Linked DNA regions of Nothobranchius furzeri. The protein of the gene in region 1 interacts with the protein of each later gene in a pairwise test. Links are inferred from orthologs where the notes say so. Each region holds a gene or a part of one and is shown in the gene's direction. Other genes may lie near its edges.

The links.
Region 2: the proteins of rnf40 (region 1) and nuclear cap-binding protein subunit 1 interact in binary tests that used the Homo sapiens proteins (3 or more experiments, as listed by UniProt). The two-hybrid records come from large-scale screens. The link is inferred for Nothobranchius furzeri from reciprocal best matches to the Homo sapiens genes RNF40 and NCBP1.

The regions. Positions count from the first base shown.
Region 1 is NC_091756.1:31,892,908-31,898,417, reverse strand, and holds the end of rnf40 (E3 ubiquitin-protein ligase BRE1B), read left to right. Parts: intron 1-2,326; coding exon 2,327-2,467; intron 2,468-2,606; coding exon 2,607-2,708; intron 2,709-2,993; coding exon 2,994-3,170; 3' UTR 3,171-3,590; downstream 3,591-5,510. Other genes in the region: uncharacterized protein si:rp71-1c10.7, read left to right, coding at 5,022-5,103.
Region 2 is NC_091741.1:71,547,228-71,554,141, reverse strand, and holds the start of nuclear cap-binding protein subunit 1, read left to right. Parts: upstream 1-3,652; 5' UTR 3,653-3,790; coding exon 3,791-3,824; intron 3,825-5,448; coding exon 5,449-5,537; intron 5,538-5,609; coding exon 5,610-5,710; intron 5,711-5,793; coding exon 5,794-5,950; intron 5,951-6,030; coding exon 6,031-6,138; intron 6,139-6,592; coding exon 6,593-6,714; intron 6,715-6,840; coding exon 6,841-6,910; intron 6,911-6,914. Other genes in the region: thiosulfate sulfurtransferase/rhodanese-like domain-containing protein 2, read right to left, coding at 1-48, 167-305, 1,132-1,290, 1,717-1,832, 1,955-2,060, 2,203-2,322, 2,423-2,531, 2,631-2,917 and 1 more. UniProt on the Homo sapiens protein: Component of the cap-binding complex (CBC), which binds cotranscriptionally to the 5'-cap of pre-mRNAs and is involved in various processes such as pre-mRNA splicing, translation regulation, nonsense-mediated mRNA decay, RNA-mediated gene silencing (RNAi) by microRNAs (miRNAs) and mRNA export.

The DNA.
Region 1 (5,510 bases):
CACAAAGCGTATGTTTTTTTTCCCTGTGTACTTATCAAAATAGGTCTAACATTTGCATATTAAAAATCTGAACATGACAATGAAAGAACCTTGCATTACATCAACAACCTGCTGAAGAGGAAAAAAAAATCACGCTAGAGAAGCAGTTGGGGGCTGCACCATGAAACTCTGAGGGCTCTTGAGCCGCTAAAAAACGGCAAAATGTTCTGGTGCGGCACGCTGCACACACACACACACAGCATGCCCCTGGTTGCCATGAGACCAGGAGAGAGAAAGAGTGTGTGTGTGTGTGTGTGTGTGTGTGTGTGTGGCAAACAAGCCCCCACAATCCTGGGAATTTTATGAAGCCAACAGAGAAGTTGTGAAAGCTGCAGTTCCACACTCATCCACTAGGGGCTGGTGCCAGAAGTGAGCAAATCCTCATTGACTCCCATGTTAAAAATGCCATGTTCACAGCAGAAATAAACATGTTTACAGCCTGATTAAAAAAAGATTTTAGGTTTAATAGATCTAGTTTACATTCATGACAACTCTGAGGGGGGTGAATTTTCTTGTAACTCTTCCGTTTAAGTGTAATTAAACGCTTGAAATTATGAATAATTAGATTTGATTGACAGGTTGCAAGAGTGTCAGAGCTAGTGCCAGCGGCTAGCTCCTGTGAAGACTTGTCACTTATAAATCACAGTTCGTGAAACATAAAATACGGCATTCGTGTGAGTCGTTAAGTTCCGAAGAGTTTTTCAGGAGGTGTGGGGTCTGGTTCAGTCTGTCTCTCTAAGATTCCCTTTTCAGAGAGGGGAGGGGAATCCATCTTGTTCACAAAATATCTTTGTTGTAGCATGTCACACATCATCATTTGGCCAATCACAGTCAGAGAGTGATTACTGATTACTTGCTGTGAGAGTATTCACAACATTCATTACTTGCTTCAACATCTCACAATGGGTGGAGTTCAAAGTTCAACTTTACTCATATTTTTAGTACATTTGCAGTAGGAATGGACAATATGGCATAAAATCTATATCACAAAAAATGTTGAAGCACTTGAAATAACAATAAATATCTTGATATGTTATTTTCTTCTGTTTATGTCAAAATGACTGTGGTCCTCCCTGGTAAGGTCTATTCAGGGGTTCTGGAGTGGAGGGTCTGACGGATTGTCGAACCTCAGATTCAGGAGGAGCAATGTGGTTTTCGTCCTGGCCGTGGAACACTGGTCCAGCTCTATACCCTTAGGGGTACCTGGGAGTTTGCCCAATCAATCCACATGTGTTTGTGGATTTGGAGAAAGCATTTGACCGCGTCCCCCGGGTGGCCCTCTGGGGGGTTCTTCGAGAGTATGGGGTACCAGGCCCTCTGATACGGGCTGTTAGGTCCCTGTATGACCGGTGTCAGAGCTTGGTCCGCATTGCCGGCAGTAAGTCGAGCTCGTTACCGGTGAGAGTTGGACTCCGCCAAGGCTGCCCTTTGTCACCGATTCTGTTCATAACTTTTATGGACAGGATTTCTCGGCACGGCCAAGGTGTGGAGGGCATCTTTTTTGCTTTTTGGGTAGTGACTGAATGAACGAGATGGCAGGTACAAGCGGCCAAAATGAGTTTTCTCCATAGGGTGGCTGGGCTCTCCCTTAGGGTGACAAGCTTGGTCACCCAGGAGGGGCTTGGAGTAGATCCGCTGCTCCTCCACATCGAGAGGAGCCAGTTGAGATCTGATTAGGATGCCTCCTGTGAGGTTTACTGGGCACGTCCAACCAGGAGAAGACTTAATGGAAGACCCAGGACACGCTGGAGGGACTACGTCTCTCAGCTGGCCAGGGAACGCCTTAGGATTTCCCTGGAGGAGCTGGCCCAAGCGGCTGGAGAGAGGGAAGTCTGGGCCTCCCTGCGACGTCAACAGAGTTTGTGTGTGAAATCCCTGATTTATAAACACTACCGTCTTAAGACAGGAGAAGGTTTAGCTAGAAGCTTAAAATCTGTATTGAAGACAAAAAAAAGTTATTAAAAGCCCATATGAGCTCTGGGATGACAACAAACATTGGTCCGATTTGCCGGTGTTCTGAGTTTGCAGGTATGATACTGATATTGGTGTTTACACTAATAATCTTAATACCTTTATAATGCAAGTCATTGAGCTTATTTGAAATCTTGTTGTTTGGCAACAAGCGCTACTGAAATATTTCAGTAACCTATGAGCGTTAACATACGGTGAACGACACAAAACTCAGATTCATATCAGTTTGTCCAGATCTACTGCCCCACTTTACCACTCTGAAACTTTCATTGTTAAGTCTCTTTATTGAGTGTTCCCGCTTCCTTCCCCACTGCAGGCGGTGGAGGCTGCACAGCTGGCAGAGGACCTGAAGGTGCAGCTGGAGCACACACAGGGCAAGCTGAAGGAGATCCAGGTCTCCGTGGCTGAGAACCGCACCGCTCGGGAGAGGGAGAGCAGCAACCTGAAACGAGCACAGGTACGCCGAATCCCCACGCCTGGGGATGTATTACCCCAAATCGAATTTAGTGGCTCTCAAGGTTCCGATTAAACACATTTGGTTTTGGTTAAGACATTTAGTTCCAGCTCTAACAACTCTCTTCCTCACGGTCTCCCAGGAGGATCTGTCCAGGCTGAGGCGGAAGCTGGAGAAGCAGAAGAAGGTGGAGGTGTACTCTGACGCGGACGAGATCCTACAAGAGGAGATCAATCAGTACAAGGTGAACAGAAATGTTCTTACTGGTCACAAAAGAATCCAGCTCATAGTGGGAGGAAAACAGTTCAGTTTAGCAAACAACAGTCAAAATACTAATTGCAACAATTTTGTGGTTGTTCTGGAAACTCGGGACCATAAAGAGGCCTTAAGCCTTCTCAGAACCACAGTGCTCTCAGTACTCACACCTGTGACTTGTTACACCCTTAAAGAAACCCATCCAGTCCCTAGAGGTGATAAAAGCTTTGGCATGTCAGTAACAGCCCACACACGTGTATTTATCCATCCTCAGGCCAAGCTGCGGTGCCCCTGCTGCAACACGCGAGACAAGGAGACGGTTCTCACCAAGTGTTTCCACGTTTTCTGCTACGAATGTCTGAAGATGCGTTACGACACCCGACAGAGGAAGTGCCCCAAATGTAACTGTGCCTTTGGAGCCAATGACTTTCATCGCATCTACATCACCTAGGTCGCCCAGCAGTGGAGCAAAGGAAAGAAAATTGAAGACAGAACCAAAGGAGGGGGAAAACATGGAGGAGAACTGAAGATCTATTACACGCTGTAGACATGTTTGGGATAAGGAATGAGTGTATCCCTGTTTTTGAGGAAAAAAAAGACTCGTGTCACATTTTTGTCATTCAGTGACCAAACCTAGTGATATATCTGACCAAGAGTGTTGTGATGTAGTTAATAAACACCCACAGAGCCGTTCTGGTTGATACTACACGTCAGGGCCAACTTTTAAAGCTTTTTAATGTATAGAAAAAGTGCAGTGGAACATGCTTGATCGTAATGAAGTGTTTCTTTGAACGCTTTTGTCCTGCTGGTTATGGAAGTCATTTGAAATCGCTGAAGCTTAAAGTTCTAAATTAAAAGAAGCCATCCCTTACAGACTGGAGGTTTGCATGTTTAAAGCTAAATGTGTTTCCAATCTAACAGCCAGATTTGTCTTACGTCTCTGCTTGGGCTATAGTATTAACAATGCCCGAGAGACATCAGCGAGTCTGGCAGCGGATCAGCACATACAGGAGTGTTTGGATCACCTTGGGCAAGCTGGGCTTGTGTGCATGAGTTCATTATGTTGCCATGGTTCCTGTTGGAGAGGTTGACACAACATCTGCAGCTTATAGTGGCTCATTACTGATGAAATCACTGCAGTGGAAAGTCAGCTCATATGGGTGTTCTTAGTGCAGCTCCAAGTCCCCCTCGAGTGCTTTTATTCCTAAAGGTTCGACGTGACAGCGGAGTACAAAAACATCTGTGCAAAAACATGCCCCCTCCTCTTTTATTTATTTATTTTTTGTTGTTTTTCACTCCAATTTGATGATGTGAAATATTTACAAAGAGTTTGCATAGCGTCTGTTTGACGTTAGTTCTTGTGGGAAAGGCAGTTCACACCACTCTAGAAGTCCCAGGCTGCAGAGATTAGCGGGGAAGGAGAAGAAAGGAAAAAAGAAAACCTGTATTAGGCATTTGGGAACAGTTAGCTCAGACTTCCTGCAGGAATTGGACATCATGTGGTGAAATAACTGGGCATTCGTTTGAACACATTCATATATTTGCATCACCAGAAAGTGCAGATGTATGGTTCTCATTAGACAGTGCTGTGACTGGGGTGAGCCTGATACTGTGTCCACTGGCTTTGTTATTGCATATTTGTGCTGCAGCAGCAGGCTACACCCAAGCCCAGGCATTAATAACACCACCCTGAGTCAGGGACACTGCTTCTATCAGAAAAATGAAGTTTACTTTTATTGCCTTGAATGTTGTTTGGGGCACAAAGTTTCTTCTGAAGTCTGCAAACTTTAGCTTAGAAAGCAGATTATTTTACTGGTGGGTGTCATCTGTTTCTGCCTGAGTTGCTGTTCCTCTCAGACCCCAGCCAGAGACTTGTGTACTTTGGCACGCGCTGGGAATGACGTCGACAGGCGTGGTAATAACAATGAGAACAACATAAATCCGGATCATACAGTGAAAAGGCAAGAAAAACGGGTGGGATGTGAACGTAAATATGAAATATGTGAAACTTCCATGGCTTAAGTGGTTTAGATGAAACTTTCACTTGAAACACGTGAAGCTGCGCGCGGGGCTTCCTGTGCGTAGCGAGAGAGAGAGAGAGAGAGCAGATAGGAAATGACTCATAGGAGTTGAACTGTTTAGCGTGGGTGTGTGCGTTATTAAAGCAAGGCGCAGACTCCTCCGCATGACTCACTCTCTGATGCTCGCTTTTCCATGCTGAAAATCCAGCACGGATTGTTAATCAGATGAACTTTTGGGAACCGTGGTGCCGACAGCGAGCAGCTCTCCATCCGCGTCCAGCATGGTTTCCACCGCTCTTTGCGCACCCTGCGTCTTTATTCTAGCGGCTCTGACCAGTCTCCATGGCTTGAGCGCAGAGATAAGTGAGTAAAACGATCTTGTTTTTTCCCTCACAACTTTGTTTCTTTACTAAAACTGTTCAACGTTTCAGCTCAATGAAGTCATTCTGTTTCTTTTCCCGAGTTGGTTTGAAACAATTGTGTCTTTGTTGTCCTGATGGAGCTCAAGGAGCCCAGATAGCGGCTGTTTACAGAACCGCTTCCTTTACCAGCTGCGTGTCTCACCGGTTCCGCATTCCGATCGCCTTACCGCAGCCATCCGCGCCCCTGGGTAGGTGGCGCAGGCTGCGTCCGCTTTGCGTAAAGACGCCTTTTACCATCTCTTGAAACAACAATGGCTGCTTATAATCGGTCCTATACGTTTGGATCAATCCCAAAGGAGAACCTGACTCACTGGCATCTAAAAACATCAACATCTAAAAGTATTAAAT
Region 2 (6,914 bases), on another chromosome or scaffold:
TGCTACAGAGCTCATACTGATCCCACGGACAGCCACAGTACCTGCAGTCTGAACACAGACACTCAAATATAAAAACCATTGCTTGAATAATGTTTATTTTTCTGATCTTATTAGCCTTTTAAAAAAATTTCTAAATTAATTCAGGTTGGTTTATTTAGAAACTGACCTGAAATGATGTCATCATTCGAGGAGATTGTGTAGCGTTCATCAAACACAAAAAGTTTCCCTCGATAGAAACCTTCTGGAAAATGTTCCAGGTACTTGTGGATTCCACCTTTCAGTTGGTAGATCTCTTTACACACATCCTGCAGACAAGTCAGAGGACACACACATTCAACACTAACAAGCATTTCAAGATAAGGCTGCAAAAATGTAAGAAAATCAATCACAAGTGCCATCCTGTGGAGACGAGTGTCCTCCATAGGATGGCCGAGCTCAGCTCTTATGATAGAGACAGGGAGAGGAACACGATGAGGGGAGCCAGCTGAGGTGGTTCAGGCCTTTGGTTAGGATGCCTCCTGTGAAATTCCTGGCTAGAGGCTGACCGATATGGTTTTTTTAATGCCGATGCAGAGTTTTAAAGAATTTTGTTGCTGATGGCTGATATCTAAAGCCGATTATTAAGGCTGATATATGTACGTTTTAACAGCCTAACGATTGTGAAAGCCATCTGAACTGTGTGAAATATTAATTAAATAATCAATAAATCTCTTACTATTTACTGAACTTCAAATATAAAACAAACTCAAAACATTTTTAAAACAATGTGTTGGGGTCCTTTTGGGGTGCCTGACTTATTGTTTTTAATCAGATTTTAAAATTAATTTCGGACAATGGCCGATGTAGAAAAAACTGAATATATCGGCCGGCCTCTACTCCTCGGGTAGATGTTTCAGGCACGTCCCGCTGGCAGGAGGGCCCAGAAAACATCCAGAACATACTGGAGGGATCAGATCTCCAGGCTGGCTCCACAAGAGGAGGGGGTGAAAGTGGCTGCTGCCCCCATGATCCGGACACAGATCGTTGGAAAAAGGCATGCACAAGTTCCTCTGGTGTTAACCTTTAAATCAAATCGGTTCCACAAGAAGCTTTCAAAAAAAGAGAGATTAATAAACCGCATGACGATCTTACTTTTGAGCGAAGGTAGGCAGAGCCACGCTCACAGCGAATCCCTCCGGTGCAGTACATGAGGACCTTCTTGTCCCTGAACAGCTCCAGGTTCTGGTCGACGTAATCCGGGAAATAACTGAATTTACGGATATTTGGGGCCAGGCATTGAGTAAACTGTCCCTGAGGAGAAAATAAAATCTAATTCATGGAATCAATCTGGCTTTGTGCCACAAAATATTACACAAACTCCCAAGACCAACGTCTGATTTCACAACCAAAGCAATCACCAGAAACAGTGCTAAAATGACACAAAGCTCTGAATTCAACATCTATTTTAAACAATGCTTCCACAGATGTGAAGTTCTACAGAACAAAGAAGTTTTCATTTCCACGTGAATTGTGGGAGCTGTTGGACCTCGGGGATCTTGTGTAATAAGGCACATGCTGCTGACTAAACGTGTTCCGCAAAGACGCATTTATTTAATTTCTCACAACGATAAGAATCACATCAAACACAATCGGTTTCTGCAGATGAAACACCAAACACCTCAGTGTAGTGTTTTAGTGAAGATCCTGCTTGGCTTAAAAAATAAAATTACTACTCACAATTTTGCTCTCGTAAAAGTTGCGACAGTCCAAGAGGATGGTGTCGTTACACAAATCCCCTTTAGCCAAAGCAGTCTCCACTTCTTTATGAAACTCTTCTGGTTCCAGGTGAACTCCTGAGACGTCAAACAGAAATTAAGCTGGCCCGACAACAAAAACCCACTAAAAACAGCAAAATACAACTAAATTTGGCAGTTCTCCCTATATTAGATCTCACTGTAGCACTTGTTGCACAAACCTGCCATTTGGTAGGAAACAACATCAGGATCCACACCCATTGGGACAATCTCCTTAAAGACCCCGACCTTCAAATGTCTAAAACACTCAGCACCACCATCACTGGTCTGAACAGACACCAACACACAGAAGATTATAAATACTGGCAATAATAATGATTTCAAGACATTTTTAAAGTTTAAATTGGGCTCTCACAGGGAATGAAATGTTAACAACATGCAACATGACTGCTTTTCCTCTAATTCTGACCTTAAAATCCTCTTTCTCCATCTTGAAGAAAGGATGTGAAAGCATTGCATTGATGTAAAGATCAGTGGCCACGTTGGTACCACCAACTGTCCCGTTGATGCCTTCTGCTGCTACCCTTACCTACAGAAGATGATTGACATTTTAACTACTTAAATGTTTCTTTAAAATCCTCTATTTTCTGATATGATGTGCTAGAGTCTAGCTGAAAGGGTTTTCTTACCTTGCCGGTTAGGTGAAGTGACTCACACAGAGCTTCCTGCCATGCACAGACAGCATGTGGATCGTCCACTTCACAGTAACAATAATAGAGCAGAACCTTCCCAGGACCACTTCATAAAAACAAGAAATAAACAATCTGCATATGTTGAAATCTGATCAAATCTATAAAGGGGATGGATATAGATATGTATATACTCCATTCTGTTTACTTTTTTAGTTCACCCTCAGGGATGTGGCTGATATCTGGTATCCACATTGAAATGTCCACTGCCTCCGTCTTTTTCCCTTTCAGCTGCTGTGTTTCTGTGTCTTTTTCCAGCTGGCTTAGCAAATGTTCATATGTGGCCTGCGTGAGCTGCTGTATACTAGAATTGTGAGTTTTGGCCACATGTTGGTGAATCTCAGCATGTTCGACGAAGGTCAGGCTACAGCAGCACCAAGATGTGCTTCCTTTTCCTGCACACTCCTTCTTCGATGCTACGAAGGCAGCAAATGACTGTGAAAAGGAAGAAGCACGAATGGCATTTAGTTTAAGTAAATGTGTGCAAAATTCTAAGTTTAATGTGGGATGAAGTTTGTCGCTGCAGGTTATTTTGTTTTTATTTTGATACCTAACATTTGTCAGACATGTAAACAGATAAAATAAATGCTGCATTTACAACTATTTAAATAAACCAGTATTTACATAATATAAGTTCAACTTTATTTATTGAGCGCTTTCACATGCCCAGGAGGACAAACAAAGCGCTGTACACCAATACAAAAACAGCATTCAAATCAGAAATACACAAAAAAGTATACATTATTATTATAACTTAGCTCATCATAAAGCCAACAAACGGTCATTGTTTTTTCCCCACCTTTCTTCTGCAGAAACTGTAGTATCTTCTTTGTGAGGCAGAAAGTTGTCTCTCCTGTTTTAATCCATTACTTGTCGAAAAATCAACATCCAAATTCATGAAGCAGCCGGTTTCAATCGCTTCCATCCTAACGAAGCTGTTAAACACTGCCAGTTAGTCGATTTTTTGTCTAAATTAAATACATTTTAAGACAGTGATCGTGCCTTGCTGTCCTAACATTTATTTGCTGCCATCTTACCAAACATAAACTCTCAAACACGGTGAGGAAAAAAAGGTCACAAACGTGTTTCCGACAATGTCGGACGAAATAGGAGGACGGACTTTTCATTTGACCTCGTGCTGCCCCGGAAGTTCTCCACTTGAATCATACCGCTGTTATTTTTCTGCGGTGGTTTCTGCGTTGCACAGGCTAAATTAACTAAGTATCAGCTAGTTCGTCCGACTTGCTGCTTCGTTTCATATCGGTTTTTTCTTTTGGTTGTCTTGTGTGGATTTTAAAGTGGCCTAATATGTCCCGGAGACGACACAGCGACGAGAATGACGGTAAATCGGCGGAGATTCAGTCACACTTTAGGCTAATAGGCTAACATTAGCGTGTTTTCCTTTCCTTCACCCATGTTGGTTATTTGTTTTGCTAATACACGTGGAGTTTTTGGATAGCTTCCATCAAAATTAAAAAGAGCAAACTCGTTATCAGCTGACATTTGTGCAAAACTAAACAGCGAAGCTGAATGAACAGCGTAAGACAACCGCCAATAACCTATGCTGTTACTGTTAGCTGATTGATGGCTAACTAAACTGATATGGAGGCGGTACCAATGAGTAAAAGATACACAACCTGATAATTGGATCATTTCTGGTAAGTTGTTAAAAGTGTAAAACTGAGTCGGAAATTAATCCTGACACGTCATGTGGTGAGCTAAACTGCTAACAAGCATCATTCTAGAGAAAATATTTGATTTCCAGTGTCTGTCCTATTGATTTTGTTAAAGCAGTGCGTATTCCATTTTTAAACGTTTCTCCCTTTTGCTTGTACAGAAATGTGTTCACAGTTGAACCCATGTATAATATGCAGATGCTGGTAATGGAAAACAAAACATGGAATGAGAAAAATCTTAAATAGTCATGTAACTGCCTAAAAGTATGTGTGAGCTTCAAGTGAATGTTTCAGAAACCTTCCATTGTTGTCAGTTTTATTTAAAGTCCCATTAGTCATCATCGCACACTGGTGAAATTACATCTCTGCATTTGACACATCCTTGTGGGCAGCAGCGAACTGCAGCGATGGCTGCACTTGGGAACTATTTGGTGGTTTAGTCCCCCAATGCAGTCCCTTAAAGCTGAGTGCAGGGAGATATTGGGTCCCATTTTTAAAGTCTTTGGTATGACCCAACCAGATTTGAACCCTGATTTCCTAGTCGCAGGGTGGAGACCCATACCACTAGGCCACTGAGAAGGTTTGTCAAGCAGATAATGTCTCATTGTCAGTATGTCCTCAACAGGTCAAAATAGCAAGGATTAAAAGCCTTGAACTTCACTCTGGAACAGAATAATTGCTAAAGTATTGACATTCTCCTTTTATAATGCTGCTAACAGATTAATTATCTAAAAAGGGGCTCATGTGTTGATGTGAGTTAGGAGAAGAAACTTTCTCATACTCCGTAAACTGTGTTAAAGGAATCAACTTTGATGTGTTGCTCATTCTTTTGCGCAAGTCTTTACGCCTTATCAAGACACTCACACACACACACTTGGCCTGTCATCTTCAATAGATAATACTGTTTTGAACATTAGGATTAGATGTTCTTGTCTACTGAACTAGAGTGAGTCTGAACTCGGACACTTGTCTGCCCCCTGATGCCATGCAAGGACACTGGGTTATGGTGTGGCGATGTCTGTGTCTGGTGACCTTAACAGAGGAATACCTTTATTGGGTTACAATGATGAAGTTGCTAAAAGGCACTGCTTCGATTAAAAAGTGTAAGCTTTTAAACATCAGCTTAATTTCTGTTAATCTAGGTGTTTCTTAGCACAACACAACCTTTATCAAATAAATATGCAAGTGTTTACATGTATTACTCATTTACGCAGATTCTGTTGGTGTTTTCTGTGGTGTCGGTCAGAGTTTATGAACATGTGTTGATTGTGTGACTCTTTTACCCACCAGGAGGTCAAGCTCACAAGAGGAGGAGAACTTCTGAACCTATTGAGATTGAAGATCGTCTGGAATCCCTGATATGTCGTGTTGGGGAGAAAGTAAGAGCAGACAGACAGAGAGATGCTCTGAAATCTCCATCACTTGACTCTGTTGTATTTTGTTATTAACAGAGTACATCATCCCTCGAGAGCAACTTGGAGGGCCTTGCGGGCGTCTTAGAGGCAGATCTTCCAAACTACAAAAACAAAATTCTGCGTATTTTATGTTCTGTGTATGTTTGTATAGGTTATTGCTTTCTGATTAATAAAGAGGCATTCAGAAGGCAGACTTTACTAAAGCACTGTGTGTCAACAGCGCCCGCCTGCTACCTGAGAAGCTTACCGTCTACACAACCTTGGTCGGCCTTCTCAACGCCAGGAACTACAACTTTGGAGGCGAGTTTGTGGAGGCCATGATCAGACAGCTGAAGGAGACCCTGAAAAACAACTTGTACAATGAAGCTGTTTACCTGGTAAAGCTGATTTTCACACAATAAATCTTCACAAAAGGGAGTTTAAAATTCATCATGATGGGTTAATTTTTGGTTTTCAGGTGCGTTTTCTGTCTGACTTGGTCAACTGTCACGTGATTGCTGCTCCTTCTATGGTGGCCATGTTTGAAAACTTTGTGAGTGTTACTCAGGAGGAGGATGTCCCACAGGTAATCAACAGTTTCTGATCAATATGCCTGCTTCTGAGTACTTAAAGATTGTTATAATTGCTTGTACATATTTTATATGAGAACAGTCCTTTGTCTAACGTTTTTATCTTATCTGTTTTTCTTTGGTGTAAAGCTAATTATGTGTCTGTTGCTAATGCCTCTTGCCAGACCCTTGTTGTAAATGAGAATGAGTTCTCAATTGACTCATCTGGTTAAATAAAGATTCAGTAAATAAATAAAGGTAAACGTGAACTTGGGTTATGTCATTCTGATTCAGTTATTTGGGAAACAGATTTGTTCAGAATTGTTAACAGATTACAGTCAAATATATTTCATAAGATTATGACGTGATTTATGATTAATCAACACATTTGGGACTAATGATTCTCATATGGACCTGGCTGCATTACATGTGTGTCTTACGGGGGTGTAACTGGTCTCCTTGTTTCCTCAGGTTCGGTCTGACTGGTTTGTGTACGTTGTTCTGTCCTGTCTGCCCTGGGTTGGTAAGGAGCTTTATGAGAAGAAGGACGTTGAGATGGACCGACTACTCAGCCAGATCGAAGGCTACCTCAAGTGAGACTTCTGCCTTTTTTTTTCTCTATTCTTTACTGTTTTACATTCTCATTATTGAAAGAATGGTTTAATCCAATGAAATAATTTCATTCTACATTTAGCTCTGTAATGCCATTATATTTTCAGGAGAAGAGTCAAGACTCATGTTCCCATGCTGCAGGTTTGGACTGCAGAGAAACCCCACCCACAAGAAGAGGTGA